7 linked regions of the Macaca fascicularis genome follow. The protein of the gene in region 7 purifies or fractionates together with the protein of the main gene of each other region. This does not show direct contact. Links are inferred from orthologs where the notes say so. Each region holds a gene or a part of one and is shown on either strand. Other genes may lie near its edges. The genes, in order: USP18, XIAP, CARD11, PELI3, FKBP5, RIPK1 and MAP3K7.

Region 1 (3,599 bases), on a different chromosome or scaffold from region 7:
ATTGTTGTAAATAAATACAGTCTGCCCTCCCCGATAGGCACGAGTTCCACATCTGCAACCAAACGCTTATCAAAAATACAGTATCCCAGATGCACAACCGCATAGATGAGGGACTGACTTTTCCTATGCACGGGTTCCACAGGGCCGACTGGGTGTGACTTGAGGGTGTGTGGATTTGGGTACACACAGGGGTCCTGGAACCAATCCCCCATGTGCACCGAGGGACAGCTGAGTCTGATCTAGGGTATGAGTACCTGTTTCCCACGGGTCTTCTTCCCACAGTTCTTACAGAAGCACTTGCTTTTGCTTGATAACTCCCTGGGCTGGAAGAAGCAGTGCAGGGCGTCCTCCTGTCCCACCCAAGAGAACAGGGAAAAAGCAGTGTTGGTATTTCCCACCTAGAGTACTCTATTCTGTTCTCACACTGCTGTGAGACAACAGCTAAGACTGGGTAATTTATAAGAAAAGAAGTTTAATTGGCTCATGGTTCCACAGGCTGACCAGAAGCATGGCAGCATCTGCTTCTGGGGAGGCCACGGAAGCTCCCAGTCATGGCGGAAGGCCAAGCAGGAGCAGGCGTCTTACATGGGAGAAGTAGGTAGAGAGCGAGTGGGGAGCTGGAGTGCAGTGGTGAGATCTCAACTCACTGCAACCTCCACCTCCTGGGTTTAAGCGATTCTCCTGCCTCAGCCTCCCAAGTAGCTGGGACTACAGGCTGCACCACCATGCCCAGCTAATTTTTGTATTTTTAGTAGAGACAGGGTTTTATCATGTTGGCCAGGCTGGTCTCAAACTCCTGACCTCAGGTGATCGACCCACCTCAGCCTCCCAAAGTGCTGGGATTACAGGCACCACCCACCCTGGCTCCACACCTTTTTTTTTTTTTTTTTTTTTTTTTTTTTTGAGACGGAGTCTGGCTCTGTCGCCCAGGCTGGAGCGCAGCGGCTGGATCTCAGCTCACTGCAAGCTCCGCCTCCCAGGTTCACGCCATTCTCCTGCCTCAGCCTCCCAAGTAGCTGGGACTACAGGCGCCCGCCACCTCGCCTGGCTAGTTTTTTGTATTTTTTAGTAGAGACGGGGTTTCATCGTGTTAGCCAGGATGGTCTCGATCTCCTGACCTCGTGATCCACCCGTCTCGGCCTCCCAAAGTGCTGGGATTACAGGCTTGAGCCACCAGGCCCGGCCATGGCGCCACACTTTTAAACAACCAGATCTCATGAGAACTCACTCACTGTCACAAAGACAGTACCATGGGGGATAGTGCCAAACCATTCAGGAGAAAACCTCCCCCATGGTCCAATCTCCTTCCACCAGACTTTACCTCCAACACTGGGGATTACAACTGAACAGGAGATTTTTGGGCAGGGACACAGACCCAAACTGTATCAGGTACAGCCTCCCCACACTTTGCAGCTGAGGGTTTCAGCTTTTCTTCTGGTTCTCCTCATATCCCCCTTAATGCCTGGCCTGGTGTGGTCCATTTGGCAGGATCTCAAACGGCACCTGCTGACTGGAGGAACAAAACAGGATGGGGCTCCTACTAAGGGAGCAGTATGAGGGAGGTGGAGGTAGGAGGGAAAAGCATTTTTGCCAAAACAAAGGAGAAACTGGCCAGAGCCATGAAAATGAAATAAGTGACTTTTCAGAAGCCAGAGATGAGGCAAGGGGGAGTTGGTCACACTGTGTTGTGTGGTTCGATGGTTTCCCCAAAACCCATGTTGAAACTGAATCCCCAATGTGGCTGTATGGAAAGGTGGGGCCTTTGAGAGATAATTGGGGAGGGCAAGGTGGCTCATGCCTGTAATCCCAGGGAGGCTGAAGCAGGTGGATCGCTTGAAGTCAGGAGTTTCAGACCAGCCTGGCCAACATGGTGAAACTCCAACTCTACTAAGGATACAGAAATTAGCTGGGCATGGTGGCGGGCCCCTGTAATCCCAGCTACTTGGGAGGCTGAGGCAGGAGAATCGCTTGAACAGCAGAGGCGGAGGTTGCAGTGAGCTGAGATTGTGCCACTGCACTTCAGCCTGGGTGACAGAGGAAGACTCTGTCTCCAAAAAAAAAGCGGGGGTTATTGTGTCATGAGGGGCACAGCCTTCATGAATGAATTAATCCACTCATGGATTAAAGGGTTAATGGGTTATCCTGGGAGTGGGACTGGTGGCTTCATATGAATAGGAAGAGAGACTCCAGCTGGCGGCACATTAGCACGCTCAGCCCCCTCGCCATGTGATGCCCTGCACTGCACTCGCCATGTGATGCCCTGCACTGCCTCACCTCAGGACTCTGAGAGTCCCCACCAGCAGGCGGGCCCTCACTAGGTGCAGCCCCTCAACCAAGACTTCCCAGCCTCCAGAACTGTAAGAAATAAATTACCTAGTCTCAGATATTGAGTTATCACAACAGAAATGGACTAACACATATGGGGGCAGCAAATACCAAGAGAATCCCCTTACCAGTGTCTTCAGGGGCTTTGAGTTCACATCAAAAAGAGACAGTGGAAGGGTAAGCATGCTGCTGTTTCTGCTACTCTCCATGGCACAGTCGAGGCAAATCAAGGAGTCCTTCACCCGGATCATATACAGGGCCTGCAGCCTCTCCACCTGCAAGAGGGAGAGCAGAGAGGTGAGATGGGAACAGCACCATAAGCCAGGTCAGGCCAATTGCAAGAAGGTGGAGCCAAGAGACAGAAGCTCTAGAAATGGTAGCCACTAATGCTCTTTGGCCTACTCACAAAGGTGCAAAATATTACCAGTAACAATATTATGAAACTGTGATAAGTGTTTTATGTGGATTAACTCTCTTATTCCTCTACACACTACAGGAACAACAGCTGAATGAGTTAAATGAGCAGCATCTTAAGCTTCCGAGTGCTCTGGTTCTAGGTTCTTACCAAGTGCACATCAGTGATCTGGTCCTTGATCAGGTTCCAGAGTTTGAGGTAGAGTTGGGCGGCATCATGCTGGACAAACACTAGCCACAGAGAAAAGGAACAGCCAATTAGTGAGGTCTTCAGAGTCACTTCTCATGCCCTAGTATCTAGACATACATGAATACTCACCATTTTGTCTCTTCCTAGCCCTCCACCCCACTGCAAGGCTAAGTTGGCACTATATAAGAGGTGATCAATAAACGAACAGTAAGTTTGGTATTGATTTTTGAGAACGCCTCTTGAAACTTAAGCTCCAGTGCCAGGTGTAGTGACTCATGCCTATAATCTTAACACTTCAGGATGCCAAGGCAGGAGGATCGCTTGAACTCAGGAGTTTGAGACCAGCCTGGGCAACAAAGCAAGACTCTGTCTCTATAAAAAATTTTAAAAATTAGTTGAGCATAGTGGTGCACACCTGTAGTCAGAGCTACTTGGGAGGCTGAAGCAGGAGGATCACTTGAGCCCAGGATGTTGAGGCTACAGTGAGATGTGATGTCACCACTGCACTCAGCCTGGGGAATGAGATGTCCACAGGGACTCTGAAAAGCACTGATACATTCCTGAGGATCTAGAAGGCCAGGCGCATGCCCAAGTAAGACCCGAAAGGGCTCCAATCCCTCCCCTCTGGCTGACCACAAGGCCACGTGCAAGAAAACAATGAAGGCAAATA
Region 2 (4,399 bases), on a different chromosome or scaffold from region 7:
ATTCTCCTGCCTCAGCCTTCCGAGTAGCCGGGACTACAGGCGCCCATCACTATGCTTGGCTAATTTTTTTTTGTATTTTTAGTAGAGACGGGGTTTCACTGTGTTAGGATGGTCTCGATCTCCTGACCTTGTGAACCGCCCGCCTCAGCCTCCCAAAGTGCTGGGATTACAAGTGTGAGCCACCATGCCTGGCCCAGAGTTGTGTTTTTTTTTGTTTGTTTGTTTGTTTTGAGACGGAGTCTTTGGTCTGTCACCCAGGCTGGAGTGCAGTGGCGCGATCTTGGCTCACTGCAAGCTCCGCCTCCTGGGCTCACGCCATTCTCCTGCCTCAGCCTCCCGAGTAGCTGGGACTACAGGCGCCCGCTACCACGCCCAGCTAATTTTTTGTATTTTTAGTAGAGACGGGGTTTCACCGTGTTAGCCAGGATGGTCTCGATCTCCTGACCTTGTGATCCGCCCGTCTCGGCCTCCCAAAGTGCTGGGATTACAGGCGTGAGCCACCGCGCCCAGCAAGAGTTTTTTTTTTTTTTTTATCAAAACACACATCTTAAGTTACTTTCCTACCGTAAAAATATATTTTGTTATTTACTATATATGTTCTTTATACTCGAATCTCTATATCTCTTCCTTTCCAGCCTCCTCTATTTATTTACTTATTTATTTATTTAGATAGCATCTCGCTCTGTCGCCAAGGCTGGAGTGCCATGGTGCAGTCTTGGCTCACTGCAGCCTTCGCCTCCCAGGCTCACAGTATCTTCCAGTCTTAGCCTGCAGAGTAGCTGGGACCACAGGCGTGTGCTGCCATACCCAGCTGATTTTTATATTTTTTACAGAGACAGGGTTTTGAACTCCTAGGCTCAAGCTATCTGCCTATCTTAGCCTCCTGAAATGCTGGGACTACAGATGTGAGCCACCATGCCCAGCCTTATGTTTTATTTTTATTTTTTAATAGAGACAGGGTCACACTTTGTTGACCAGGGTGGTTTCAAACAGCAGACCTCAAAGAATCCCCCTGTCTTGGCCTCCCCAAAGTGCTGGGATTACAGGTATGAGCCACTGCACCCGGCCTCCTCTCTTTCAAAAAAACATTTATTGAGCTATAATATACATATAGTAGCCAGGTGTGGTGGCTCACGCCTGTAATTCCAGCACTTTGGGAGGTCGAGGAGGGTAGATCACAAGGTCAGGAATTTGAGACCAGCTTGGCCAATATAGTGAAACCCCGTCTCTACTAAAAATACAAAAAGCCGGGTGTGGTGGTACATGTCTGTAATCCCAGCTACTCGAGAGGCTGAGGCAGGAGAATTGCTTGAACCTGGGAGGCAGAGGTTGCAGTGAACCGAGATCACACCATTACACTCTGGCCTGAGTGACAGAGTGAGACTCTGTCTCAAAAAAAAAAAAAAATATATAGATATATATATGTATGTATGTATATATACACACACACACATACAGTAAAGTGCTTAAAGTACCCTAATCATAAGTTTTCTACTTGATGAATTTTAACGTATGTATGTTAAAATATATATTAAATAAAATATGTGTTAAATATATATTAAAATGTGTCTGTTAAAATATATATATTTATCTGTGTAACTATCCCCCAGATTAAGACATAGAACATTTCCACAACCCTAGAAAGCTCTTTCATGCTCCTTCCCCATCAGTACGCACCCCCAAGTTACATTCTGGCTTCTATTACCATAGATTCATTTTGTTTATTACCATAGATTAGTTTTGAAGTTCTTATAAATGGACTCATGCAGTAGGTACTCTTGTGTCATAATGATGAATTATGATTCTGGTTTGCTCGTTATATCTATGAGATTCATCCATATTGTCTGTGGCAATAGTTTTTTTTCTTGCTGTGTAGCTTATGAATATACCACACAATCTATTCACCTGATGATGGACATTTGAGTTGTTTCCAGTTTGGGGCTATTATAAATAACACTGCTATGAATATTCCTGTGCATATCTTTGGCAGAGATATACACTCATTTTTAATACCCAAGAGTGGAATTGATGAGTCAGAGGGTATAAGTGTCCTCTCTTAGCACTTCCCTACACATGCTGTGTTCCTACTTTGAGTATCATAAAAACAGGTTTCCATTGACTTTCTTGCTTTATCCAGTCCTACCCGCTCTACTACAGAAATGAAGTTTGAGAGCTAGGAAATTGACATGTTCAAGGTTATAGACTGGGATTTCCCTAATTTACCATCATTTTCCCCAAATAATTGCTAGTGACTCAGTAACAACATCCACTCTTTAAGTACCTTAGGTTAATTGTTAAAGAGTACAGCTAGATTTAAAAAAGTTCAGATTTTTGAAGCACTTAACCTTTTTCTTGCCTGTTTTACCTTGCATCGTTTCAAACACTACAAAATACATACTCATTGCATTTACAATTAATTGTAAGATTCTGAAAGTGATTTTTCAGTGCCTGAATACTTCAAAAAATCTTCCCAAAGCAGCTTTGCTTTGCTGGTTTGTTTTTGTTCTTTTGCTTGCTGCTGAATTTTTTCATTTTAACTATATTTTGCTATTGAGTTGTGATAATGAAAATAATTGTTTAAATTCTATGTTCTTTTTCCTCACCAATTTTTATTTCAGATGATACCATCTTCCAAAATCCTATGGTACAAGAAGCTATACGAATGGGGTTCAGTTTCAAGGACATTAAGAAAATAATGGAGGAAAAAATTCAGATATCTGGGAGCAACTATAAATCACTTGAGGTTCTGGTTGCAGATCTAGTGAATGCTCAGAAAGACAGTACGCAAGATGAGTCAAGTCAGACTTCATTACAGAAAGGTATGCATTGCTGTTTTTAAAAAGCAAGAAAGGGCCGGATGTGGTGGCTCACACCTGTAATCCCAGCACTTTGGGAGGCTGGGGATATGGACATTTTTTAAACATAACCTTAATGCTTTGTGTTAGTCTGCTCAAGCTGCTATAATAAAATTCCATTGACTAGGTGTCTTAAACAACAGACTTATTTCTGACAGTTTCGGAGGCTCCAAAATCAAGGTGCTGGCCGATTTCGTTATTGATGAGGGCCCTCTTCCTGCCTTGCAGATGGCTGCCTTCTCACTGTGTCCTCACATGGCATGGGTTGGGGGTGGATGGGACAAGATGGAGCAAGTACTCTGGTCTCTTTTCCTCTACTTTTAGGGACACTAATCCCATCATGGGGGTCTCATCTTCATGACCTCATCCAAACTTAATTAGTTCCCAAAGGCCTCATTTCCAAATATCATTACATTAATCATGGAAAAAAGATTAAAAATATGAATTCTACCAGCCTGGGCAACATAATGAAACTGTCTCTACAAAAAATACAAAAATTAGCCGGGCATGGTGGTGTGTGCCAGTAGTCCCAGCTACCTGGGAAGCTGAGCGGGGAAGATCACCTGAGCCAGGGAGATCAAGGCTGCAGTGAGCTATGATCATGCCACTGCACTTCAGCCTGGGCAGCTGAGCGAGATCTTGTCTCAAAATATATATATATCTCCTTTAAGGATGATGGACACTATAGTGCTTGCCAACAACATCGAAGGTTAAAGAAGAGGTTTCAAACTGAGTACACTTTTGGGTACTATACCTGTAATAGTTCTCTAAGCTCTTGACTATCCTCCCTCCAAAAAGATGAGAATTCTCCTACTGCTAATAAACTTAAACATTTACTTATTTTTGACACATTTAAAATCCTTGTGATCTTTAAGATATTTCAAGTGCTTTTGAAACATTATTCAGATAATTACTTAAGTTATGAAACAGTATGAACATTAATGATATTTAAAATTATATTCATTGATGTAAGAATCAATGGAAAGCTTCCAGTTTTTCCCTTATAGATGCATTTATTTAAAACTTACACAGGCTCCACTTATCTTGGTGGTGGTAAAATAAACCCTTTACTTGGTCATCTTTCTTTCTTTATTTTTTTTAAGACGGAGTCTCACTCTGTCACCCAGGCTGGAGTGCAGTGGCACGATCTCAGCTCACTGCAACCTCTGCCTCCCCGGCTCAAGCAATTCTCCTGCCTCACCCTTCCGAGTAGCTGGAATTACAGGCATGCGCCACCACGCCCGGCTAATTTTTTGTATCTTTATTAGAGGCAGGGTTTCTCCCAGTTGGCCAGACTAGAATTTTTCTACTATAACAGAAATACAAGCAATTGTGTCATTTTTTTCCTGCATCTTAAACACGCGCTTAATTAAGTTTGGCCATAAGTTATTAGCTTTCAAACCTTAATGTGTCTGCAGCAGAAAGATTTAGCAGGTTGTAATAGGAAGAGATCAAGGGACTGTGCATTAGGGAGAGTGTCTTTTCTCTAACAGGAGTCAGTGGGCGCTCGTATTATCACTGAGACTACAAACTAGGATGGTGTG
Region 3 (4,399 bases), on a different chromosome or scaffold from region 7:
GCAAGCCCCGGTCTTCCTGTACAATGTAAAGGCGTTGCCTCCTGACCGGCCTCAACCCCTTACATCTCATCTGCCCCCATTACATTTCCAATTTCTAGCCCTGATTTCTAGAATTTTCTAGAAATTCCCATTTCTAGCCAATTCTAGCTCTAGTGCCTGAGCTAACAATATAAAAAATATTCAGAATGACTGAATGATGTTAAGAACAAAAACAGTGCTAGGTACTGTCTGGAGTGCTTCATAGCTGCCACTTCATTGAATCCCTTCCTGACAAGTGGAGGTTGTTGTTGATCACCACCTTTTACAAAATAGGGAGCGGAGTGCTGTGGCATGAAGGAACTACGTGGCCCGCAAAGCCACATGGCACCCTCATGCTGCGCTGCCTCCAAACTCAAAGCGTCTTGTCCCACTCCCTGTGCAAAATCCTTCAGGGACTCAGAATAGCAGCGGAACACTCCTGGGTACGCACAGCCCACCTTGGCGCATCTCATTACCCGCCTGCTGGTCCTTGACTCCCACTCTGCAGACGGTGGAAGTGCCGGACACGGCCTGCTGGCAGCACGATGGGCTACGTGCCAGGCCTGTATTCACGCTGTAACTGCAGCCGGGAATGCGGGTCCTCCCAAAGTGCTGGGATTACAGGCCTCAGCCACCGCACCCAGTCAGGGTCCCTTCTTTTGTAAATGAGGACACTGAGCATGTGCTTTCCATGCAGGACAGTTCTGTGGGGTAAATGAGGTAACGCGCAGGGGGCACGTTGCGTGGCACCTGCACGTGACTGCGCTCAGTAAACCCACAGCTATAAAAGTGATAACATCTACCCTGGAGGAGGCATTCCTTCACTTCTCAGTGCCTGGGGCACTGCTGGGAAATGCACTCTGCAATTCACATTGTCGATAAATGAGGGTTTACTCACAGGCACTAGGAACCCTAATGACCGCAGGGTGTCTTAAACCCAGTGACCGTTCAGGTGTGCGGGGGAACCCTAGTAGGAGGCCAGCAGCTGGCTGTGGTCAACTGAGAGGGCACTGAGGCTCCTAAGCGGGGAGGCTGCTCAGCCAGGAAGTGGCTGGGTCAGGCTTGACCCTGCATCTTCTTCTTTTTGTTTTTTGAGACGAAGGTTTGCTCTGTCACCAGGCTGGAGTGCAGTGGCAAAATCTCGGCTCACTGCAACCTCTGCCTTCTGGGGTCAAGCAATTCTCCTGCCTCAGCCTCCCGAGGAGCTGGGAGTACAGGCACACACCACCATATCTAGCTAATTTTTTTGTATTTTTAGTAAAGACGGGGTTTCACTATGTTGGTCAGGCTGGTCTCGAACTCCTGACCTCATGATCCACCCGCCTCAGCCTCCCAAAGTGCTGGGATTACAGGCATGAGCCATCGCGTCCAGCCCCCTGCATCTTCTTATTTATGTTTTTAATTTTAATTTTTTAAATTAAAAAAAATTTTCACTCTGTTGCCCAGACTGGTCTTGAACTCCTGTCCTAAAGCGATCCTCCCACCTCAGCCTCCCAAAATGCTGAGATTAGAGGCATGAACCACTGTGCCCAGCCCTACCCTGCATCTTCTAACTTCAAAATGAGTGGCTTCTACTCATCACTAAACAGACACAAACACAAGACTAAAAGATGTGGATTATGCTGGGTGTGGGAGGGAACTTCTGGCTTCAAAAATATGAAGGGCCGACCGGGCACAGTGGCTCATGGCTGTAAGTCTAGCACTTTGGGAGGCTGAAGCGGGAGGATCGCTTGAGGATAGGAGTTTAAGACCAGCCTGGGAAACAGTGAGACCTTGTCTGTATAAAAAAATACAAAATTAGTCAGGCATGGTGGTGTGTGCCTTTAGTCCCGTTACCCGGGAGGCTGAAGTGGGAGGATGGCTTGAGCCCAGGAGTTTGAAGCTGCAGTGAGCTGTGATGGTGCCACTGCATTCCAGCCTGGGCAACAGAGCAAGACTCCGTCTCAAAAACAAAACAAAACTAAACAAAGGACAAGGAGCCATTCATTGCACTGGGAGGTGGCAACTGGCCACAGCCCTCAGTGGGCGCCAGGGGGCACCTGCCTTCAGATGTGGGGCCCCACGGGGAGGCGGCGACTGGCCACAGCCCTCAGTGGGCGCCATGGGGCACCTGGCTTCAGACGTGAGCCCTGCCTGTCCCAGCCCACCTGGTCCAGGTTGTTGCTGTCCTTGGAGAGGCGCCGGAGCTTGCTTTCCAGGTTGACGATGCAGGCCTCCCGCCGCACCATCTCGATCCTCATCTCGTCGTTCTTCTCCTCCAGCTCACGGATCTGCTTCCTGTACTTGTCCTTTTCGATTAAGCACTGCGAGTACTGTGTCTGGGCTTCGTCTCGGGAGTGGAAGGCCTGCCGGGGAGAAGAAGCAGGACAAAGGCTGCTTTGGGGGCCGCACCCCAGTCAACTCCAGCTGGGCCCAGGGACAGGCATCATCCCCAACCCAGGGGCCAGCCACATCGTCTGTGACTCTCATCTGCAGCCTGACTCCTGGGTGTGTCAGTCACTGCCTTCTTCAATAACACGATCACAGAGCCGATGGTTCGACCCTTGCTAGTGGCAGGCTCCGTGTTGAGAGATTTGATGCAGTATCCCTGGAAGGCCACGGCCTGTCCCTATGAGGTGGTGCTACCGTAATTTTCCTCATTTTACAGATGAGGGCACTGAGGTCAGGGTGGCATACACCTTATGAATGACAGGGCTGGATCTGAACCCATCCTCTCACCCGAGAGAACAGACAACATTTAAGAACCATGCTTGGTTGTGGGAGCTGCTGGAGCTCAGCTCAGAGCCCCCTGATACCCAAATGCCTGTGACTTCCAAAAGCCTTTTGGGATAGAATTCATCGTTGGAACAGAAATGGGAAAGATGGATTCAGGAGTGATCCCTGCATTGTCAGTGACATTGCACTGGACAAAACACTCTGAAGGACCCCGTGGCCTGGGGTGTGGGCCCCGCTGTGCAGTCTTGCCGCCCTGCATGCTGCAGGTGGTGCCTGTACCTGGTCCCGCTCCCGCTCCACCTCCTCCAGCTGCAGCATGACCGTATTCATCCGGTGCTTATACATTTCACAGTCCTTCCCCAGGGTCGAGCACTTGAGCTCCAGGTCCTCCTTCTCCTCCAGGTACTGTGAACAACACAGAGAAATCAATACGTGCATCAAGGAATCAATAGGTCAGGGTTGAAAGCTGTTCTCCGCTCGTGCCTTCCCGCCGGCTGGCTGGAGCTGGCCTGTCCCTCCCTAAGCTGGCATGGTCAGGACATGGCCTGCCCTTCTGAGAACTGGCTATCTGACCACTGGGGCTCAAGGTAGGGGACCAATGAACTTGGCATTGTCATGAACCCACTACAGACCAGGTAATGTATGGGAGGATAGTGTGGTCTCAATCAGGAGGGGGACACTGGTGCTCAGCTGGTGCAATAGCTTATAAATGCCCAAGGGTGGCCGACACATCTGGGATCCTGCAATCTGCAAGGTGTGGGTGAGGCTCTGAGACTCACACATTGGCAAGTATGTTGGTTCCCCCAATCCCAAGCCCTCACCGTCTCCTCTGCCCACATTGCTCCTGCCCCCAGGCCCTCATCAGGTTGATAAACTGCAGCTCCTGCCAGGGGCTGAATACTGGGAAGTACAGGGGATTTATGCCAGGGGTCTGACCTAGTCCCCGGAAAGGAGTGTGGGGTCAGGGAGGTCCTGCTGACACACACCACTGCCCCCTGGTGTGAAGGGGGCGGGCCAAGGGCACTGCTGGGCAGGCGCTCCCCGCTCCCACCTTGTCCCGCAGCTCCTCCGCCTGGCGGGCCTCCTCCTGCAGGTTGTAGATCCTGTTGACCAGCTCCTGCCGGTCCTCCAGGGCCTCCTTGCGGTCGTGTTCCAGGATGTCCAGGATGGCCTTGTCGGAGTCTGGCAGGCTGCGCTTTCCAGCCTGGGTGGGAGGGAGGAGGTTTAACAGGGTCAGGGTCGGGGTGGGGAGCCAGGTGGTCCTGGAAGGTGGGGGACAGAAGAGCCAGCAACAGACACGGACAGAGCAGAAGGTTTTGTGTCTGGAAGGTAGAGGCAAGAAGAGATGTATGTCCCTTGAGGTCTCTAAGAAGCTTATCATTTAAGAAGTTTATTGCCTGGAAAGAAGCAGAAAACTGGCTTCTGCTTGGGAGTATCCTGGGCCTTTTGTTCTCCCTGGCACTTATTAGAGCGCAGAGAAGCAACTGGTGCACCTAGAACACTTCACAGGTGACAGCAAAGGGAAGCTGGATCGGCTTTTTAGATGCTGTCCCTGAAATACTGAGGAATCTGTTCTGGTGAAGCTGGGTTCACCCTCGGCTCCGAAAGAGAGCCTTAAATACCAGGCAGCCGCTCCTGGTGGGGACTGTTCTGGAGGGAGCCAGAG
Region 4 (4,399 bases), on a different chromosome or scaffold from region 7:
TGGGATTACAGGCTTGAGCCACCGTGCCCGGCCAAGATTATTTTTTTAAAATGGCTGTTTGTTGACATGTGCTTTTTTTACCAAAAAAAAAAAAAAAAAAGCAGTAATAGAAAATAAAAAAAAGCACTTATCAAGGGCTTCCTATAAATATGCCAAACTCTGTGCTAAGCACTTTTAAATGCTTTGTCTCATTTAGTTCTCAAAATGAACCTGCGGGGTAGGTCCTAAAAAATTAGCTCCATTTTACAGAGGTCATGTGATAAGTGGAAGAGCCAGATTTAAGCCAGGCCCATCTGTGTCCCAAGTCTGTGTCCTGAACTGCCCCACCTCGGGGCCTGCCCACCCCCGCCCCTGATGTGTGGGAAGAGCTCACAAGGGCAAAAGTGATGTCTCCCTTGGGAGAGCTTGCCTTGAAAAAGCAGCTGCTTTGTATCCCAAAGGCAGGACTGGCTTTCCAGCCCAAGGCAAGGCCACTAATGTGGGAGGCTGCAGACCCACGGGTATGGGCCCTCCTGGCAGCCCCTTTGCACAGCAGAGTCCACATTGGCTGCACATCAGAGCTGGCTGGAGGGCACTGAAAATACACATTGACAGGCCCTCTCCAAGCCTACAGAATCACAGTCACAATGGGTGGGACCAAGGAATCTGGATTTTTTTTTTTTTCTTTTTGCGGCAGGGGAGACAGGGTCTTGCTCTGTCGCCCAGGCTGGAGTTCAGTGTCACGATCTTAGCTCGCTGCAACCTCCACCTCCTGGGTTCAAGTGATTTTCCTGCCTCAGCTTCCTGAGTAGCTGGGATTACAGGCACCCACCACCATGCCTGGCTAGTTTTTGTATTTTTGGTAAAGACGGGGTTTCGCTATATTGGCCAGGCTGGTCTTGAACTCCTGACCTCAAGTGATCTGCCCACCTTGGTCTCCCAAAGTGCTGGGATTACAGTTGTGAGCCACTGCGCCTGGCCTCATCTGGATTTTAACAAACTCACTAGAAGATTCTGATTCAAGTGGCCTTGTCTGTATTTGGCAGCTCTTTGTCCTGTCACTTCCTGTTCCCAAACCTTCCTGGCACCCCACTGGTTACAAAATAATGTCCTCAGCCTGGAGTTCAGAGCCCTCCCACCAGCATCATCTCCCCCACATACTTCACCACCAAAGTCACCATTCCCTGATCTCATCAGATCCTGCCAGCCTTGGGCCCTTTGCTTAGGGTGAGCCTCCATCTAGAGGTGCTTCTGGAGTCAGAGAGACTGGGCTCGAATCTGGACATTTTCACCTACTAGCCAGAGGCAAGTCACTTTACCTCCCTGAGCCTTGATTTCTCTCATTTGTAAGATGGGCAGAAAGCCACTTGCCTGGCAGGCCACTGCACAGATTCCATTAGGTGATTGATAACATGAAGGCCAGGAACACGGAGGCAGCAGCCCATGGCAGCGATGAGAGCTATGACTCACCTCCTCTGTGCCTCTCACAGCCATCCCTTCCGGACAAGAGATGGAAAGGCAGGTGGAAATTGGACATGTGTGGATATATAGAGGTAGTGGCATTGTGGGTCAGTTTTTCCTTTCGTTTTGGTTTTGAGTAGTGGTGTGATAAGTGACAATTTGCTACAGGTGAACCCTTTCTAGTTCTTCAAAACCCAGTAGAGGTGTTCCCTCTCCCAGAAACCTCATGCTAGGGCCAGAATTCCCTTTTCTTCCTCTAGGCTTATGGCATCCTTGACTTGTGCCTGGGTGTGGCAGGTGGCACCTAGGTTCCTGGAGAAGCTGAGGAACCCCTCCACTGAGGGCCCACAGCTGACCCGTGGTGCGTCACCTCTACTGCCCCAGTGCACAGCACCCATCCAGGCATGGCTCAAGTGTCCAGGAAATACTTGGTTAACTGAATGAAAGTGCTTTTGAAACTGTTCTGACACCCCCTGCCCACTCCCCAAGGTACCGATTTGTTATTGTAGGGTCTTCTAGTTTCAGGTGCTTCTAGAGCTTGTTTATTAAGGTAGGATCTGCCCAGAAGTTGGCAGTTTCCCCCAAGTTTCATCAGGGGTTCACTTTCCCTCTTTCTCTTTCTCCTCTTACAACCCTTTCTTCTTGACCTCCAACATCTACAGCTACAATGGGTGTCTGGCAAGTGGGGACAAGGGCCGCCGGCGAAGCCGCCTGGCACTGAGCCGCCGTCCGCATGCCAACGGAGTGAAGCCAGATGTCATGCACCACATCTCCACGCCGCTCGTCTCCAAGGCAAGCAACTGACCTGTAGACCTGAGGTCCTGCCCTCCCTGCCCAAGGCCCAGGTCTTTGGCCTTCCAGGTCCTACCTGCCCACAGCCCCCCACCTTAACAGGGGAGCCCACTTTGTGTCATCACTCACTGCGTATTGGGCCACCTGAGAATGGTGATGAAAAATCCTTTGCAGTGTGCACAGTTCTTTACAGTTTGCACAATGTTTCCTTAACTACCAGACCTTTCTGAACCTTGGCTGCCTCTAAAATGGTGCTGCTTATTTCCATCCAATGGAAATGGGTGGAAATGAGCTGCGCCATCTTAGAGGCAGCCAAGGTTCAGAGAGTGGGAGGTGACAGTCATACTGCAATGGTAAAGGAAAAAACCTTTGGCTTTAGAGGATTTGGGTTAGAATTCAGCCTCTGATATTTCCAGCTGTGTGTCTTTAGGGCAGTTTCTCTGTGACCTGCAGTTCCTTCAACTCTAAAATGGAACGATAACCCCATTCTTTTTTTTTTTTTTTTGAGACGGAATCTCGTTGTCACCCAGGCTGGAGTGCAGTGGTGCAATCTCAGCTCACTGCAATCTCCACCTCCTGGGTTCACACCATTCTCCTGCCTCAGCCTCCCAAGTAGCTGGGACTACAGGTGCGCACCACCATGCCCAGCTAATTTTTTTTTTTTTTGTATTTTTAGTAGAGACGGGGTTTTGCTATGTTGGCTAGGCTGGTCTTGAACTCCTGACCTCAAGTGATCTGCCCACCTCGGCCTCCCAAAGTGCTGGCATTACAGGCGTGAGCCACTGCGCCCAGCCTGATAACCCCATTCTTAAGGTGATTGTAGGGCTTAAATCATGTGACACACCCGCTGCACTGTCCACCCTCTGCGAAGGATGGAGCTGCCCCCTTTCTGGAGAGTGGCTGCTGGGCCTTGAGCTCCAGCTGCTGGCTCCAGGCTTACACTTATCATAGCTGCACACCCTGGCAAGTGACTTTTTTCTCCCCCCAGGCACTGAGTAACCGTGGTCAGCACAGCATCTCGTACACGCTGTCCCGGAGCCACTCGGTCATAGTGGAGTATACACATGATAGCGACACAGACATGTTCCAGGTATGCTCAGGCCTCTCCACACACCTCCTGGCCACCAGGCCTCTAGGCTCTGCAAGCATTTCAGGTGAGGCTACAGGATGGGAGGCCATGGGAAAGTTGCTTCCCTCCAGACGAGGAAGCAGGATGTCCCAGTGTGGGCTGTTGACTGCAGAGTCACACAGCAAGCCAGTGGCTGTATCAAGGATCAAACTCAAGACTCCTAGACGGTGGGAGTTCACACAGCTCAGGGGTTCAGGTGTGAGAGGCCTAATGCCTGTGTTCAGATTTTGGCTCCATCACTTACCACTGGGTGACTTTGGGGAAGTATCACTTAAGTTCTGTGGGCCTTGGTTTACTCATCTGTAAAATGAGGCCCATAATAGTACCCACCCCACAGGAAGATTAACTTAGGCATTGCACATAAAATGTTTAGCATGGTGGCTGGCATATGGCAAATAGTTACTCAGAAGTTGCTATGTGCTGCTAACATTTGACCACCCTCTTATAATTCTATCAGCAAATCAACTTGTATTTATTGAATGGGGTGATCCCTAGTGCTGTGGGGGCAACAGAGAAGGAGAAGCTGCTCCAGGCAATGGCTTCTTGGACTTGGAGACCCCACCTGGGAGCCTAGAAGGTCTAAGGAGTTGGTGCTGCCCCCTTCTTAGGGCCTGGCAGCCTCCTTTTTTGGTGACCTTGCATACAGAGCAGCTGCCGGAACTGTGGGTGGGGAGGCCTATGAGAGTCCCCTATGTACATGCAGTCGCTGCTTGCTTTCCCTGTCCTCACAGATTGGCCGCTCCACAGAGAACATGATTGACTTCGTGGTAACAGACACATCCCCTGGAGGAGGGGCTGCCGAGGGCCCTTCCGCCCAGAGCACCATCTCTCGCTACGCCTGCCGCATCCTCTGTGACCGCCGGCCGCCCTATACTGCCCGCATCTATGCAGCTGGCTTCGACGCCTCTAGCAACATCTTCCTTGGAGTGAGTGAGCCCCAGGAAGGGACCAACTCTTCATCTGTGAGGCAAGGGGTAGGCTTGGGAGGTGCAGCATCTTGATGTGATGAACCAGCCCACAGTAATCCAAATGATGGTC
Region 5 (4,399 bases), about 51 Mb from region 7:
TACTTCCCTCCTAGTATTTTTTAATTACAAAGGGAAAATAGTAACTTTGCAGTAGTGAAACATGGTTTCCCACCTTAACCCAGTGTTCCAAGGTAACATCACCAGTAATGAGACATCAGTATCATGTACCTCTTGATAATGATGAAAGGTACAACATCACTTCAGTGGTATTTTCAAAAAATGCATAACCTCAATCTAATTAAAAACATCCCAGAAACCCAAACTGAGGGATTTTCTACAAAATGGTCAGTTGTATTCAAAATAGTAGAGTAGGCCGGGTGCGGTGGCTCATGCCTGTAATCCCAGCACTTTGGGAGGCTGAGGCAGGTGGATCACCCGAGGTCAAGAGTTCAAGACCAGCCTGAACAACATGGTGAAACCATGTCTCTAAAAAAAATTAAAAATTAGTCAGGCATGGTGGCGTGCGCCTATAGTTCCAGCTACTTGGGAGGCTGAGACAGGAGAATTGCTTGAACCCAGGAGGTGGAGGTTGCAGTGAGCTGAGATTACGTCACTGCACTCCAGCCTAGGTGAGAGAGCAAGACTCCATCTAAAAAAAAAAAAAAAAAAAAAAAAGTAAATACAATGCTGGATCTTGAGTTTGATCTTAGACCAGAAAACGACAGTAGTGTAGTAACTGGTGAAATTCAAATAAGATCTGGAAAACAGTTACTGGTACTACATCAATGTTAACTTCCTGATTTTGATAAATGTACTGTGATTAGGTAAGATGTTAACATTTAGAGGAAGCTGTGTGAGGCATATAAGGGAACACTGTATACTAGTTGCGCAACTTTTCTGTAATTCTAAAATTATTTCAAAACAAAAAGTTAAAAAAAATTGACTCCCATCACAAGGATTACCAAAAGCAAGATTTGATTTAATTTAGTCTGCTCTAAAGTTGTCTCCACAGTAGTAATGTTGTGGTATTGTCCATAATTGGGAAAAGTTTTCCCTCTTAGTTGACAAAACCCTCCAGTTAAAAAATATAAATTACTGAATCTAGGGAGTTCCTATATCCATAGGAGTAAACCTCTACCTTTGTATATACATTTGAAATTTTTCATAATAAAAATTTAAAATACACATTATAGACAAGCTTAAGTGCTTACTAATATAGTGAAGATGATTTTCTATCACTCCTACAACTTTTGTAAATGTTTAGAATTCTATGATGGAGTTTTAGGGCTAGTAGGACCTTAAAAATTAAGCGGTTCCACCTTGCCTCACTGCATAGGAAGGATGCTAATGCCCAGAGGTGAGGTCTAGTTGGAGCCAGCCTGAGACCAGGGCTGAGGCTGGAACCCTATCTCCCAACTCCTAGTCTGGAGCTACTTCCCTGATATTCTACATTTAAAGCTCTTCATGTATTCTAAAACTTATCTTAAATGACAATTTGGGATAAGTAATATTTGTAACTGCTTCCCAAAACAACAGAATTTTAACTGACTTTCCAAACTCGTAGAAGTGAAATATGGGCCGAAAATAGTATATACTTTAAATATAAGAAACTCAGCTATTCTTGTTTTCTGTTTAAATGAACTCTATTTTACTTTTTTTTTTTTTTAAAGTCAAGGTCTCACTATGGTGCCTAGGCTAGAGTGCACTGGCTATTCACCGGTGTAATCATAGCATGCTATAGCCTCGAACTCCTGGCCTCTAGTGATCCTCCCATCTCAGCCTCCCAAGTAGCTGGGACAACAGGTGTACACCATTACACCTAGCTTTTTGAAATCTTTATTTTAAACAGAACTTTTATAATAGTTCATGTTCCCATCCTTGTTGAATGATTTGATTTTTGTTCTTAATGGAAGTATTTCTCTGTTTTCTCACAACTCTCTTTTGAAGGATTTCAGCTCACTAATGACACTTCTCAAGCATTTATCTATGAAGAAAGCCTTTACTGAACACCAAATGTGTGTCAGGCACTGCAGGTAATGCTGAAAACAAAAGGATGAAGAAAGATTCTGGTCCTCAAGCACTCATAGTATATTGGGATAAATGGGCAAATACTGATTACAATGTAAAGTGACAAGTAGTATACACAGTGGTATATATAATTTGCTCTGGGAGGGAAGAAGAGTTAGCTATCTCAGTCCTCAGAGATGCCCCTTCTCCCACTTAGCAAATGAAGAAACGGAAAAGCTTCAGGTTACTCAATAAACACCAAAGCAGGACTTGAACCTAGGTCTACTGATAGGGAATAGAATGAACATTATTATCCAATATTGATCTAAATGATGAACTATTTTTTATCTTGATGACAGCTGATGAGATGGATTTGAGTCCTAAAGAGGATTATAATCTACTGCTCTGTTTAGTAACTCTGTAACCCTGGGCAATTTATTTAAGATCTCTGAATTAACTTTTCTTATCTGGGGACAGGAAATTTTACCTCTTAAGGCTGTGAGAAATAAACGAACAAATATATCAGGCAACAAATATAGTTGCTGGCACACCAAAGAGTCCATAGATTGAGAATTTCTTGTGGATGGAATTACTTTGTATTCATTTTTGAGTTTGTAGAGGCTGGTAGCATGCCTGGCACACATGTTGAATTAATGTTTACTAAATAAAATTATTAAATAAATGTTGAATCTGAAACTATTCTTTTTTTTTTTTTTTGAGACAGAGTCTCGCTGTCTCCCAGGCTGGAGTGCAGTGGCGCCATCTCGGCTCACTGCAAGCTCTGCCTCCCAGGTTCACGCCATTCTCCTGCCTCAGCCTCCCGGGTAGCTGGGACTATAGGCACCCTCCACCATGCCTGGTTAATATTTTGTACTTTTAGTAGAGACGGCTTTCCCAGTGTTAGGCAGGCTAGTCTTGACCTCCTGACCTCGTGATCCGCCCGCCTTGGCCTCCCAAAGTGCTGGGATTACAGGCGCGAGCCACCACGCCCGGACTTTTTTTTTTTTTTTTTTTCCCACAGAATCTTGCTGTTGTCCAGGCCGGAGCCAATGGCACAATCACGGCTCTCTGCTGTAGCGTTGATCTCCAGAGCTCAAGTGATTCTTCCACCTCAGCCTCCCAAGTAGCTGGGACTACAGGGACGTGTCACCACACTTGACTAATTCTCTTGATGCTTTTTAGTAGAGATGGGGCCTCACTATGTTGCCCTGGCTGCTGCCGCATTCCTAAGCTCAAGAGATCCTCCTGCCTTAGCCTCCCAAAGTGCTGGAATTACAGGCGTGAGCCACTGTGCCCGGCTAAGACTATCTTTGAGATATATTCAATACTTTTTTTTTTTTCTGAGGCAGAGTCTCGCTCTGTCACCCAGGCTGGAGTGCAGTAGCACCATCTTGGCTCACTGCAACCCCCACCTCCCCGGTTCAAGTGATTCTTGTGCATCAGTCTCCCAAGGAGCTGGGATTACAGGCATGCACCACCACGTCTGGCTAGTTTTTTGTATTTTTAGTAGAGATGGGGTTTCGCCATGCTGGCCAGGCTGGTCTCAAACTCCTGAGCTCAGGCAATCCGCCCGCCTCCACCTCCCAAAGTGCTGGGATTAAAGGCGTGAGTCACCACGCCCAGCCGATATGTTCATTTCCATAAACATATTTTTTTTAAGTCTCCATTTCGTCCACATAAATGGTCCAACTTTTAAGGACTAGTTCCCTCTTACTTTAATACTTACTTTCTACTGTTGCTCCTTCGTTTGGATTTGAATATCCCTCTCCTTTCCGTTTGGTTCTCCGGATAATGCCTCCATCTTCAAATAAGTCCTCTCCTTTGAAATCAAGGAGCTCAATCTAGAAAGAAAAAAGGAATTCAGATGAGAAAAGACCAAATAAAGCCAATTTAACATATGTGAAGGCAAGGGCAACCAATTATTTCATTTTACAAAATAAAGCTGTTTCAAAATGTATACATTCATTTATGCATCTTAATTATTGGAAAAGTAGCAAAAAAAAAAACAAAAAACCCACTATACTTTTCCATACTTGGAAAGAATTTCACATAATGATAATGTCTAGGACTATATCCTAAGGGACTGCGGTGCAAAGACAGGAAATACTAGGAACACTACCCTGTGGGCAAAAACCCAGAGCTTTACAAGGTGCTGGTGTAGAACAGTTTGTCTGAGGCCACAACTTTCCCACCCTGGATTTATGGAGTTCCCTTCTCAAAATGTAAACATAAATTTCATGAATGTGGCCTGTGACTGATTAAAGGTATATTTTACCTAGCTGGGGTAGTTCTTAAAAATCAAGTTTTGCCAAATATATGTAATTTCAACACAGGTTGAATAATGTTTTATCACCATCAAACACTTCTAGAGAAGTGAGATCTGTGACATATAAACCTTTATAATATGAAAATACCCTGCAACTTGACATAGGCATATTTCAACATTTATTGCCAACATTTCCATCCTGCATTCTGGTCAATTTTGAGTATG
Region 6 (4,399 bases), about 85 Mb from region 7:
AGTGGACGGCACCTCTAAGAAGAACGGCGGCACCCTCTACTACATGGCGCCCGAGCACCTGAACGACGTCAACGCAAAGCCCACGGAGAAGTCAGATGTGTACAGCTTTGCCGTCGTACTTTGGGCGATATTTGCAAATAAGGAGCCATATGAAAGTAAGGCATTAGAGGAGTGGGGTTTGATATGAACCAACACTGCCATATGAAGTAATGGGCTTCAGTGAAATCAGTTAAGGTTTATAATTGTTTATTCTTTTAATGTCAGTCTTGCTTGCTAAACTGTGAGTTCCGTGAGGGCAAGGACCATATCTGATTTATCCTCTGCTGTCTCCTCAGCATCTACACTCACTGTGCCTGGAACTAATAGGTGCCCAGTAAATTTTTGTTGAATGAATGAGTAATCCCATTTAGGAATCAGTGATCATAGGATGAATAGGACTCTTGATAACGTGTCATTAGCTTGAGAGATGCTGTAAAATTCCAGGGTTCTTCCTAGACAGGAAAGTTGATTGTTTCTGCTTGTGAGGACTTAGTCTTTCACACTACAAGGCATACACTTCATACTTTCACTCATTCACTTACTCCTTCATTCAAGAATTCTTTCTTTTCAGTCCCTACTGTGGGCACTTTAGTCGGCACCGGGAATATAAAGATGAGTAAGTCGTGGCTTGTGTAGGAGAACAGAGACACTCTTCAGTTTGTTAAGTGCATAAACTAATGGATGTTTCCCTACATACTCATCTTGGGTGATCATCAGCTCCCGTGGTTTGATGATCATCTCTTTGCAAATGCTTCTTAAATCTGTGTCTCTGGCTCTGGCCTGGATATCCACTTGTCTTATGGTCAGATCCATTGCAGGCACCAAAGGAACCTCCAAAGCAGCATCCCCCAAACACACCCATCTTGTCGACACTGTCCTGCAGCTCGCCCTGCTTCACTCCTCTTCATATGCTCAGGAAGTGGCATGGCCATCCTTTTACCAAGTTGCCCAATAAGAAACCTTAGAGTCATCCCAGACTTGCCCTTGCCTCTCTCTCCCACATTCTATCAGATCTCAAAACCTATGAATTCAAGATATATATATGACTCAAGATATATCTGCAACCCATCTGCCTCTCTCTGTCCCCACTGGCCTCTGCTTAGTTCAAACCCTCACTGTTTCTGCGGCAGGCTCCTTCCACTGTCCACCATTCATGTGGCAGCCAAAATGGTCGTCCTAAAAGGCACATGTGACCCTTTCCCTCACATACTGGAAATCCTTCCCAGATGCTCCATGGTGTTCAGGATGAAGTTCGAATTCCTTAGTGTGGAATATTCTGGCCTTTGCTTCTCTACTGGCCTCATCCCTGACCCTCCCTTCTTTGTCAGTTAGACTGAGTGAGGAATTTCTGGGATGTGTCATGATCTCTGTGACTTCTAGTCTGTTGATATCCTGCTTCTCTTGCCTGGAGTTCTCCTCCTTAAGTCCCCCTTTCCCATTCTTTACCTGCTAATTTTTCTGGACTCAACAAAGCCTTCCTGGATCTTTTTAGTCAGGGTTGTGCTACTGGAGCCCCTTGTACATTCTTTTTTTTTTTTTTTTTTTTCCTTCTAAGACGGAATCTCACTCTGTCACCAGGCTGGATTGCAGTGGCGCAGTCTCAGCTCACTGCAATCTCCACCTCCCAGGTTCAAGCAATTCTCTTGCCGCAGCCTCCCGAGTAGCTGGGACTACAGGTGTGCACCACCACGCCCAGCTAATTTTTGTATTTTTAGTAGAGATGGGGTTTCACCATGTTGGCCAGGATGGTCTTGATCTCTTGACCTCGTGATCTGCCTGTCTCAACCTCCCAAAGTGCTGGGATTACAGGCATGAGCCACCGTGCCCAGCCCCATCCTTTTTGAATAGCAATGATCACTCTTGTGTTTTAAGTCACTCTCATTAACTTGAGCTCCTAAAGGCAAGGACTGTCCCATATTTGCCTTTGCACATGGAGCGTGCCACTGGCCTTGCCCACATAATCTCTGTTCCATCAGCAGGTAGCTTTGTTGAGAATTTTGTTTTATCTGCAGACATTAAGCTATTGTTTGGTCATCTCTGTAGTGGAATATGTCAGACAAAGAGCTGACATATTCCACTCTATAGAATGAGGCAGCCGTACCACAGGCATACCAGAGGCTGAAAAAAATGAGCAGTATTGTTCAAGTTCTGTCACCTTCCTGCCTGAGAGAGGAGCAAGACCTGAAAGTCTCAACCTCAGCTCCTCTTTGCTTTACAGATGCTATCTGTGAGCAGCAGCTGATAATGTGCATAAAATCGGGGAACAGGCCAGATGTGGACGACATCATTGAGTACTGCCCAAGAGAAATTATCAGCCTCATGAAGCTGTGCTGGGAAGCGAATCCAGAAGCTCGGCCGACATTTCCTGGTAAGAGCATCTTTTCTGACTGTGTAGGATGCATCCTGTGTGGTGATTTTCCCAGTAAGATGTTGTTAGGAACTTGGTTTGAATCCTCAGAAAACTGAGTTCAACTTTACTTGTGGTTTTAAACTGATTTTCTAGATTTCAAACATGTTGTTCAGTGCAAAGAAGCCATCTCTCAAAAGCATGAAGGCACATAAGGCCTTCTTGTTTCCTTTTTTTGTAACTAACTTTTTAACTTGGGTTTAAATATACATAACTTTCAAATTAACATTGTAACTGTTTTCAAGTGCACTGTTCAGGGGCAGTAAGTACAGTCCCACAGTACGTTCACTCTCCATCATCTCTCTCCCTGCCCCGGCAACCCCCATCCTACTTTCTGTCTCTACGAATTTAACTGCACTGGGTACCGTATATAAGTGGAACCATACAATGTTTGTCCTTTTGTGTCTGGCTGATTCCACCTGGCATGATGTCCTCGAGGTTCATCTGTGTTGTAGCAGATGTCAGAATTTCTTTCCTTTTCAAGGCTGAATAATATTCCATTGTATGAATAGACTGCATTTCGTTTCTCCATTCATCCGTGTATGGGCTTTCACCAGCCTTCTTTGCTTCTTCACCTCTTTTATTTCCATCCCCTCCCTTGTTTAGCTGGCATCTTTAGAAAGTATTTTGCCATTTAGACTGGCCCTGTCATACAGGGATGGGGAAAGGTGCCTGGATGTTTGCTGAGCAGTATTCTATGGTGTGGATGTACCACAGTTTAACTATTCACTCCTTGAAAGACTTGTTTCCAGTTCTTAACTGTTGGGACTAAAGCAGCTGTAAATATTCATGTACATGTTTTTGTGTGAATATAAGTCTTCATTTCTCTGGAATACCAAGGAGTGCAGTAGCTAGGTTGTATGGTAGTTTCATGTACAGTTTATTTAAAAAATTCCCAAACATTTTCCCAGAGGGGCTGTGCCATTTTATATTCGGTGTCTGCGTGATGCAGGTTCTTGCATCCTCACCAGCATTGGGTACCCAGGCTACTCACACTTCTGCTCAGCCAACTACAAATTTATTTGAGTATTCCCACAAGCCCCACTTCAGGTCTGGGAATTCATTAGAAAGACTCACAGAACTCAAGAAAACATTTTACTTATGTCTCCCCTTTTACTGTACTGGGTACAATTCAGAAACAGCCAAATGGAAGAGGTGTACAAGGTGAGGTATGGGAGGAGGGTGTACAGAGCTTCCACAGCCTTTCAGGACACACCACGTTCTGGTGCTTCTATGTGTTCAGCAACCTGAAGCTCTCCACACCTTCCCATTTAAGGTGATTTATGGAAGTTCCATTACATACGCATGATTGATTAAATCATGGTCATTGGTGCTTGAGCTTAATCTCCAGTCCCTCTCTCCTCACTGGAAGTCAAAGGTGGAGCTCAAAGTCCCAACCTTCTAATTATAGCTTGGTCTTTCTGGTTGCTAGCCCCCATTCTGAAGCTGCTTAGTTTTCTGACCCCACCCAAAAGACACTCTTAGAAGACTCCAAGGATTTTAGGTGCTACCTGCCATGAACAAAACCAGACCTTTCTGATTCTCCAAGGTGTCTTATTTTATTGTTTCCTTTCTGTTTAGGGAACTTTCCTTAATCATTCTTTTAGGATATGTCTGAACTCTGTCATTCCAAATTTTTTTTCCTTATAGGTAAGGTGTTATTTTTCTCTTGCTGCTTTCAAGACTTTGCCTTTATTTTTCAGAGATTTAGTTATTTGTCTTGGTGTGGATTCCTTTGGGTTTATTCTGTTTAGGTTTTGCTCAGCTTCTTGAATCTGTAGGTTTATGCCTCTTACCATATCTGGGAAGCTTTTGGCCATTATTTCTGTAAGTACTTTTTAGCCCCCACTCTCTTTCTCTTTTCCTTCTGGAACTGTGACAACAAAAACTGTATCTTTGGTTATAGTCCCACAGGTCCCTGAGGCTTTCTATTTTTTTTTTTTTTCCCAGTTA
Region 7 (5,182 bases):
TGGTCACCAACTAAATTCTACAGGAGACCATGATCACTGTACGTAAAGAACTTCTAAGGTTACTGTAGAAAACAGTTAAATACTGGAAAAAATGAATGTGTTTTCATTTTAGAACTGGAAAAGACCTTAAATGATCTTGTTTAATCCCTCAGTTTACATAAGTAACCACAGGCCCAGAAAAACGTGGTGACTTCCTCAAAGTTACAAAAATATATTATGGCAGAATCAGTACAGCATCTACATTTTCTAATTTTCAGTCCAGAACACTTTCCACTATACCACCCTGTGTAACACTTCTTGCAACCCATCCCCTCTTTTATTCCAATATTCTTTACAGCCAGATCTAGATGGTAAACACTAAATGACTTTTAAAAAGTACCTAGGCAGATTTCTGAGGCTGAGACTTTACCTAATTTGATTGAACTGAACTGAATCTAAGATGTGACAAACTAATACTATTGAGTTACAATATTAGAAATGCAAGATCAGCTGATGTCTTAGAAATATGTATCTACTAAATGATTGCATATTTGGCCTGTGGTTGAATTATTTTTTTTTACAGTTTCTAATTATATTGATATAATGCAATTCAATTATATTGAGAAATACATAATATGATTTTCTTAATTTAGAAGGTAATATTCTCATACAATATAAAATATTGAAAGCAACATAAAGTAGTTTTTGTTTCTGGTCATCTTCCTCTGTTATCTTACAACTGAACTGGAAGTGTAATCTAAGTTGACAAATAGCTAATAAGTGTCCTTGGTTCACTCTGGATTGTGTAACACTGGTTTAATGTATGCAAATGAAGAACATGATGGAAATTATGTAATGCTTTCAATATCAGAAAGATCCAAATACAATCTTTAATGCAAAAATGAACTGAGTATTAAAAATGAAGGGGAATAAAACAAACAAAAAACCCAAATGACTGCCTAATATTAAAAACAAATTTTCGTCTAAAAACAAAATCCTACTCCCCAGAAATGTCCTAAACACACGCACACCCACATACACACAAAGATTGAAACATTATCTAAATTGAGAGAAGGGTCTTGGAAACACAGAAACCTAACCAGAAGTGAAATAGCTTTAGGGGAAGAACATCAAAATGATAACTACCTCCTTAGTAATTTGTTTTTCCATGAATCAAGAATGTAAAAAGCTTTAGAAAGTAGCATACAAAAACTAAGGTTGTAAGAACCAAATGAAGTAAGTTTGTGAAAGCATTTGGTAGACCATAAAGCACAAGTTATTATTATATAACAATTTGTAGTCTACAAGCATAGCAATTCACCACAGAGGAGACGTAAACGCTTATTTAAAAACTGCAATTCTTGTATACTGACTCATGGAATTTTTATTCTTAAAAAAGAATATTAGCCATGAAAGTTGGATCAACTATCCACTTCTGGAAAAGGAATTTATCATAGCCTCAATGTAAAAAAAAAAAACTTAAAAACATTCCCCCCTCTTTTCAAAATACAGGTCTTCTTTTAGCCATGTGACCTTAAAGCAGGTCACATTTCCTCTCTGGAACTAGGTTTCCTAATATGTGTCAGGCCCTGTGGTAGGTGTTTTGCATATAATGTCTACTAAGATCTGTTATGCAGATAAGATGAAACAGAATTTATTAGCCCTTTCTAAAACTAAAATTCAAAGGGGTTAGGAAACTTGCCCCAAATCACACAGCTAATAATGGCATATCTGATACATTGAACTTTCCTCTAATTCCAAAGACCTTGCTTTTCCCACCATATTATCTTGTAAAATGAGGATGTTCTCAATGATCTCTAAAGTTACTTTATGTGATAAAAAGTATATAATTCAGTAATCCATTACTCTTCCAAAACATGCACAGGAAAAAAAAATTTATTTGTTGAACGTTATCTCACTACTTCGAACTTGCTGACACTTAAAAATAATTTTAGAATTTTAAAGTAGACATAACTTGTTGACAATCTATAATATTTCACTAGGTTTTTCACGGGATATATAACGCAAGTGCTTAATAAATTAAAAAAACGGCAAATAAATGGTAAGATATAGTATTTTCAGCCAAAGTTTTTAACAAGTTCTAAAGTCTCTTTAAAAAATATATATGCAGCTTTTACTTTTCTAAATTTTATAGTCATTAGAACCCAATTTACCTCTCTGTTAATCTGAAAAGCAACACTTTAAAGTCACTTTGAAATAGCTTGTTCTAAAATGAATTACTGCAGAATAAAGAAAGGATATGGGTTTTCTGATAGCGATTTCCAGTCTAATGTTATATTCTGATTGTCACCGATCATTCGTTATCTCTTCAGAATATGCTACTTGAAACATCTTTTGATCGTAGACCAGTCTGTGTTACTTATGGTGAAATTCACCTACGTTAGCCCAACTGAAAGCCGAGCGTTTAAACATTACGAGTATTGCTGTGCGGTATCGGAGAAACTGAGAACCATTCGATGCTAAGGGAAACACTTTATTAGACTTGATGATCTACTAATTTAACAAGCATTTATTGAGCATCCCCTACATGCCAGATACTGAAGTAGAAGTCGAACATAATACAATTATTGGCCATTAAGAACTTCACGTCCAGCGGACTGAAACTCCAGAACGGCTACGATCTTCGCTGAAACTACTACTTACAGATACGAGAACTGGAGGACCACACTGTCTCACCAGTTCATTCTCCTGTTTATCACCGGAATATCAAATCCAAAAGCAAGAGTACTCAAGACAGGAAAAAAGGCAGCTACTCCCAAGCAGTTGAGCTCAGAGAGTAACCCCCACTCCCACGTCAGTGAAGGCTGTTGGGTCTCCCGGGTGGACCCCACAGGGTCCCGCGAATTAGAGGGGCCGGGGAGGCACCTTCAGAGCCGGGACCAGACAGAGGCAGGGGCGGGCCGGGCCGGTACCGGCGTCTCCATGCAGGGCCTCGCTCACCTCTTCCACCTCGATTTCCTTGTAGTCGATCTCTTCAAAGTTGAGGACTTGAGAAGGGGCTTCGATCATCTCACCGGCCGAAGACGAGGAGGAGGAGGAGGCGGCAGAGGCTGTAGACATGATCCCTCGCGGCGCCCGGTGGGGCCGGGAGCGGTGCCGCCCGGACAATCCGGGTGAGATCCACGCCCACCCGCCTCCGGACCGACCCTCAGGCTGGAGCCGCGCAGTCCTGCTACCCGGCGATCCGTGGCGGGGATAGCGGCAGCGGCCACAGCCGGGTCCGGATCTGGCTCCGCTGCGTTTTCCGCCGCTGGGCCCCGCCCACTACACTTCCGGTTCCGGGCTGAAATCGGAAACAGGAGGTGGGCCGTAAACTCCGGGGGAGGGAAGGGGAGAATTTTGTGACTTGGAAAGAAAAGGAGGGACAGGTTGGGGGTGGGGTGGAGTAAACTAAGAAGCAAGCTTGGACCTCTAGAACAAATTTCGCGAGACCTTTATTACAGGGCCTCAGCAACCGGATGATACCGCGAGAGAGGACGCCTGACGTAATTAAAGTGCGCGAACGGAAGTGGCGCGGAACATGACGGAAAATCAGCACGGTTGGTCCCTTAAGGACCAGCGGGAAAGATAAAAGCTGGCGTTTAGTCTCTGCTGTGTGAAGTATGTCTTGGCCTCTCTTTCTCTCCTTTGAGCTGCCAGCAGACGGGCGAGGTGGTGTTGAACTGTGTTTTTTGTGACGAAGCTTGCTTTTAAGTTTCATCCCTCAACTAAGTTGACCTGTTTCTTTAAGACGGCTTGCAAAATGTGTTTTCCTCAATGTGGGATATGGAAGGAAGCAGTTGCTCCTGTTACTTTGAGCTAGTCCCTGACGCTATGAGAAATTCTAAAAGAGCGAATCAGATCATGCAACATGAATAACTATGGAGGCTGAGTGATCAAAAACAGAAGTTAATATTTTGGTGTTACAAACTTTACACAGATTAGGTGGATAAGATATTTACACTTTGGTGTGTTCATCTCAAGTTATGGATTACGAGTGCGGGGCACTAGTGCTTTAGATTGGTAAATGAATCATCAACAGTCTCCTTGAAAATCAAATATTTTCATCACCATTTTCAGGACGTGAGAAAATACACTCAGAGTTTAAAGCAATTATGGTCCTTACAAACTAGATCAATCTGTCCCCAAGATGGTCAGTATTGCTCATGTTGTACTACCAGCACAAGTTTTAGTTTTAAACTAACTGTTGAACTTTATATAGTCCGTTTGACATAAAGCCTAACTGTGGAAAATTGGAGTTAGAGATGAAGATTTAAAGACCAAGGATGGATTCCTGCGAATGTCAAATTCTAAGTTTCAGTAAGAGACTGAAAGGAGGAAGTGAGGAAAATAGTAATTGGAACATCACCAGAGGTGAGCTTTCCAATGAAGAAGTAGCCAACCAAGTATATGCTGTACAGAATTATGTTAAACACATTTGGGATTGCAACTAGATCATTGGATTTGACCATCAAGAAGTTACAAACTTCTTGGAAACGTTCTGTCACTTTTTATTCACAGTTCTAGTGACTCGCAATGACAGTTTGATGAGTGGATAAAAAAATGAAAGAAGCAATAATTTCTTTCCACTGTACACTCTTTGTTTGCATGATCTTACCCAAGGTCTCTGTTTCTCATACCATTTTTATAATGATGACTTCTAATCTCCGAATACTCAAGATTTTTCCTGAATTCTGGACCTATTGGACATCTCTATTTAGATAAACAACTAAACTTCAAGATACCACAGCAAATTCAAAAGTTGTCACCCACCACAAATATATTTCTATGTGATTTTCCTATATCACGTAAGGATGCCATCACCCAGTTGGTTGTCTGAGAAGTCAGGGCATGTGAAATGATGTGTGGTGCACTGATACCCAATATAAGCTGATTTAATCAGTGGCACAGTCATTTTCACCTGTCATTCCCCTTGCATTTCCAAACAAGGATGGTCACTTCTTACCTTGTGCTATAACTGCAGGTCTATATCTGATTTCCCTTTAACACCTTGATCTTGCTGCCAGGTGGGAACTCAATAAATACTTACATATTCTGTACAAATGAATAGCTTTTGTCAGTCCTCCCTTTCCCTGGAGTATAAGACATGTTTTCTGTACCTTCAGTTTAGGACTGGAATCTTGACAAAGGGCTAATTACTACAGCCATGATGCAGTTCTCCTGCTTGATTATTTTTCCCCAA

The links.
Region 1: the proteins of MAP3K7 (region 7) and USP18 purify together in Homo sapiens (affinity purification with western blotting; 4 studies listed by BioGRID, with this or other methods). This does not show direct contact. The link is inferred for Macaca fascicularis from reciprocal best matches to the Homo sapiens genes MAP3K7 and USP18.
Region 2: the proteins of MAP3K7 (region 7) and XIAP purify together in Homo sapiens (affinity purification with western blotting; 3 studies listed by BioGRID). This does not show direct contact. The link is inferred for Macaca fascicularis from reciprocal best matches to the Homo sapiens genes MAP3K7 and XIAP.
Region 3: the proteins of MAP3K7 (region 7) and CARD11 purify together in Homo sapiens (affinity purification with western blotting; 3 studies listed by BioGRID). This does not show direct contact. The link is inferred for Macaca fascicularis from reciprocal best matches to the Homo sapiens genes MAP3K7 and CARD11.
Region 4: the proteins of MAP3K7 (region 7) and PELI3 purify together in Homo sapiens (affinity purification with western blotting; 3 studies listed by BioGRID and IntAct, with this or other methods). This does not show direct contact. The link is inferred for Macaca fascicularis from reciprocal best matches to the Homo sapiens genes MAP3K7 and PELI3.
Region 5: the proteins of MAP3K7 (region 7) and FKBP5 purify together in Homo sapiens (affinity purification with mass spectrometry; 4 studies listed by BioGRID and IntAct, with this or other methods). This does not show direct contact. The link is inferred for Macaca fascicularis from reciprocal best matches to the Homo sapiens genes MAP3K7 and FKBP5.
Region 6: the proteins of MAP3K7 (region 7) and RIPK1 purify together in Homo sapiens (affinity purification with western blotting; 5 studies listed by BioGRID, with this or other methods). This does not show direct contact. The link is inferred for Macaca fascicularis from reciprocal best matches to the Homo sapiens genes MAP3K7 and RIPK1.

The regions. Positions count from the first base shown.
Region 1 is NC_088384.1:34,026,322-34,029,920, forward strand, and holds part of USP18 (ubl carboxyl-terminal hydrolase 18), read right to left. Parts: intron 2,971-3,599; coding exon 2,891-2,970; intron 2,601-2,890; coding exon 2,454-2,600; intron 351-2,453; coding exon 255-350; intron 1-254. UniProt on the Homo sapiens protein: Interferon-induced ISG15-specific protease that plays a crucial role for maintaining a proper balance of ISG15-conjugated proteins in cells. Regulates protein ISGylation by efficiently cleaving ISG15 conjugates linked via isopeptide bonds.
Region 2 is NC_088395.1:130,130,159-130,134,557, forward strand, and holds part of XIAP (E3 ubiquitin-protein ligase XIAP), read left to right. Parts: intron 1-2,618; coding exon 2,619-2,819; intron 2,820-4,399.
Region 3 is NC_088377.1:36,472,898-36,477,296, forward strand, and holds part of CARD11 (caspase recruitment domain-containing protein 11), read right to left. Parts: intron 3,938-4,399; coding exon 3,785-3,937; intron 3,139-3,784; coding exon 3,013-3,138; intron 2,364-3,012; coding exon 2,166-2,363; intron 1-2,165. UniProt on the Homo sapiens protein: Adapter protein that plays a key role in adaptive immune response by transducing the activation of NF-kappa-B downstream of T-cell receptor (TCR) and B-cell receptor (BCR) engagement.
Region 4 is NC_088388.1:7,921,650-7,926,048, reverse strand, and holds part of PELI3 (E3 ubiquitin-protein ligase pellino homolog 3), read left to right. Parts: intron 1-2,102; coding exon 2,103-2,232; intron 2,233-3,220; coding exon 3,221-3,322; intron 3,323-4,092; coding exon 4,093-4,287; intron 4,288-4,399. UniProt on the Homo sapiens protein: E3 ubiquitin ligase catalyzing the covalent attachment of ubiquitin moieties onto substrate proteins. Involved in the TLR and IL-1 signaling pathways via interaction with the complex containing IRAK kinases and TRAF6.
Region 5 is NC_088378.1:136,068,589-136,072,987, reverse strand, and holds part of FKBP5 (peptidyl-prolyl cis-trans isomerase FKBP5), read right to left. Parts: intron 3,750-4,399; coding exon 3,635-3,749; intron 1-3,634. UniProt on the Homo sapiens protein: Immunophilin protein with PPIase and co-chaperone activities. Component of unligated steroid receptors heterocomplexes through interaction with heat-shock protein 90 (HSP90).
Region 6 is NC_088378.1:169,978,373-169,982,771, reverse strand, and holds part of RIPK1 (receptor-interacting serine/threonine-protein kinase 1), read left to right. Parts: coding exon 1-155; intron 156-2,257; coding exon 2,258-2,407; intron 2,408-4,399. UniProt on the Homo sapiens protein: Serine-threonine kinase which is a key regulator of TNF-mediated apoptosis, necroptosis and inflammatory pathways.
Region 7 is NC_088378.1:84,781,483-84,786,664, reverse strand, and holds the start of MAP3K7 (mitogen-activated protein kinase kinase kinase 7), read right to left. Parts: upstream 3,269-5,182; 5' UTR 3,061-3,268; coding exon 2,941-3,060; intron 1-2,940. UniProt on the Homo sapiens protein: Serine/threonine kinase which acts as an essential component of the MAP kinase signal transduction pathway. Plays an important role in the cascades of cellular responses evoked by changes in the environment.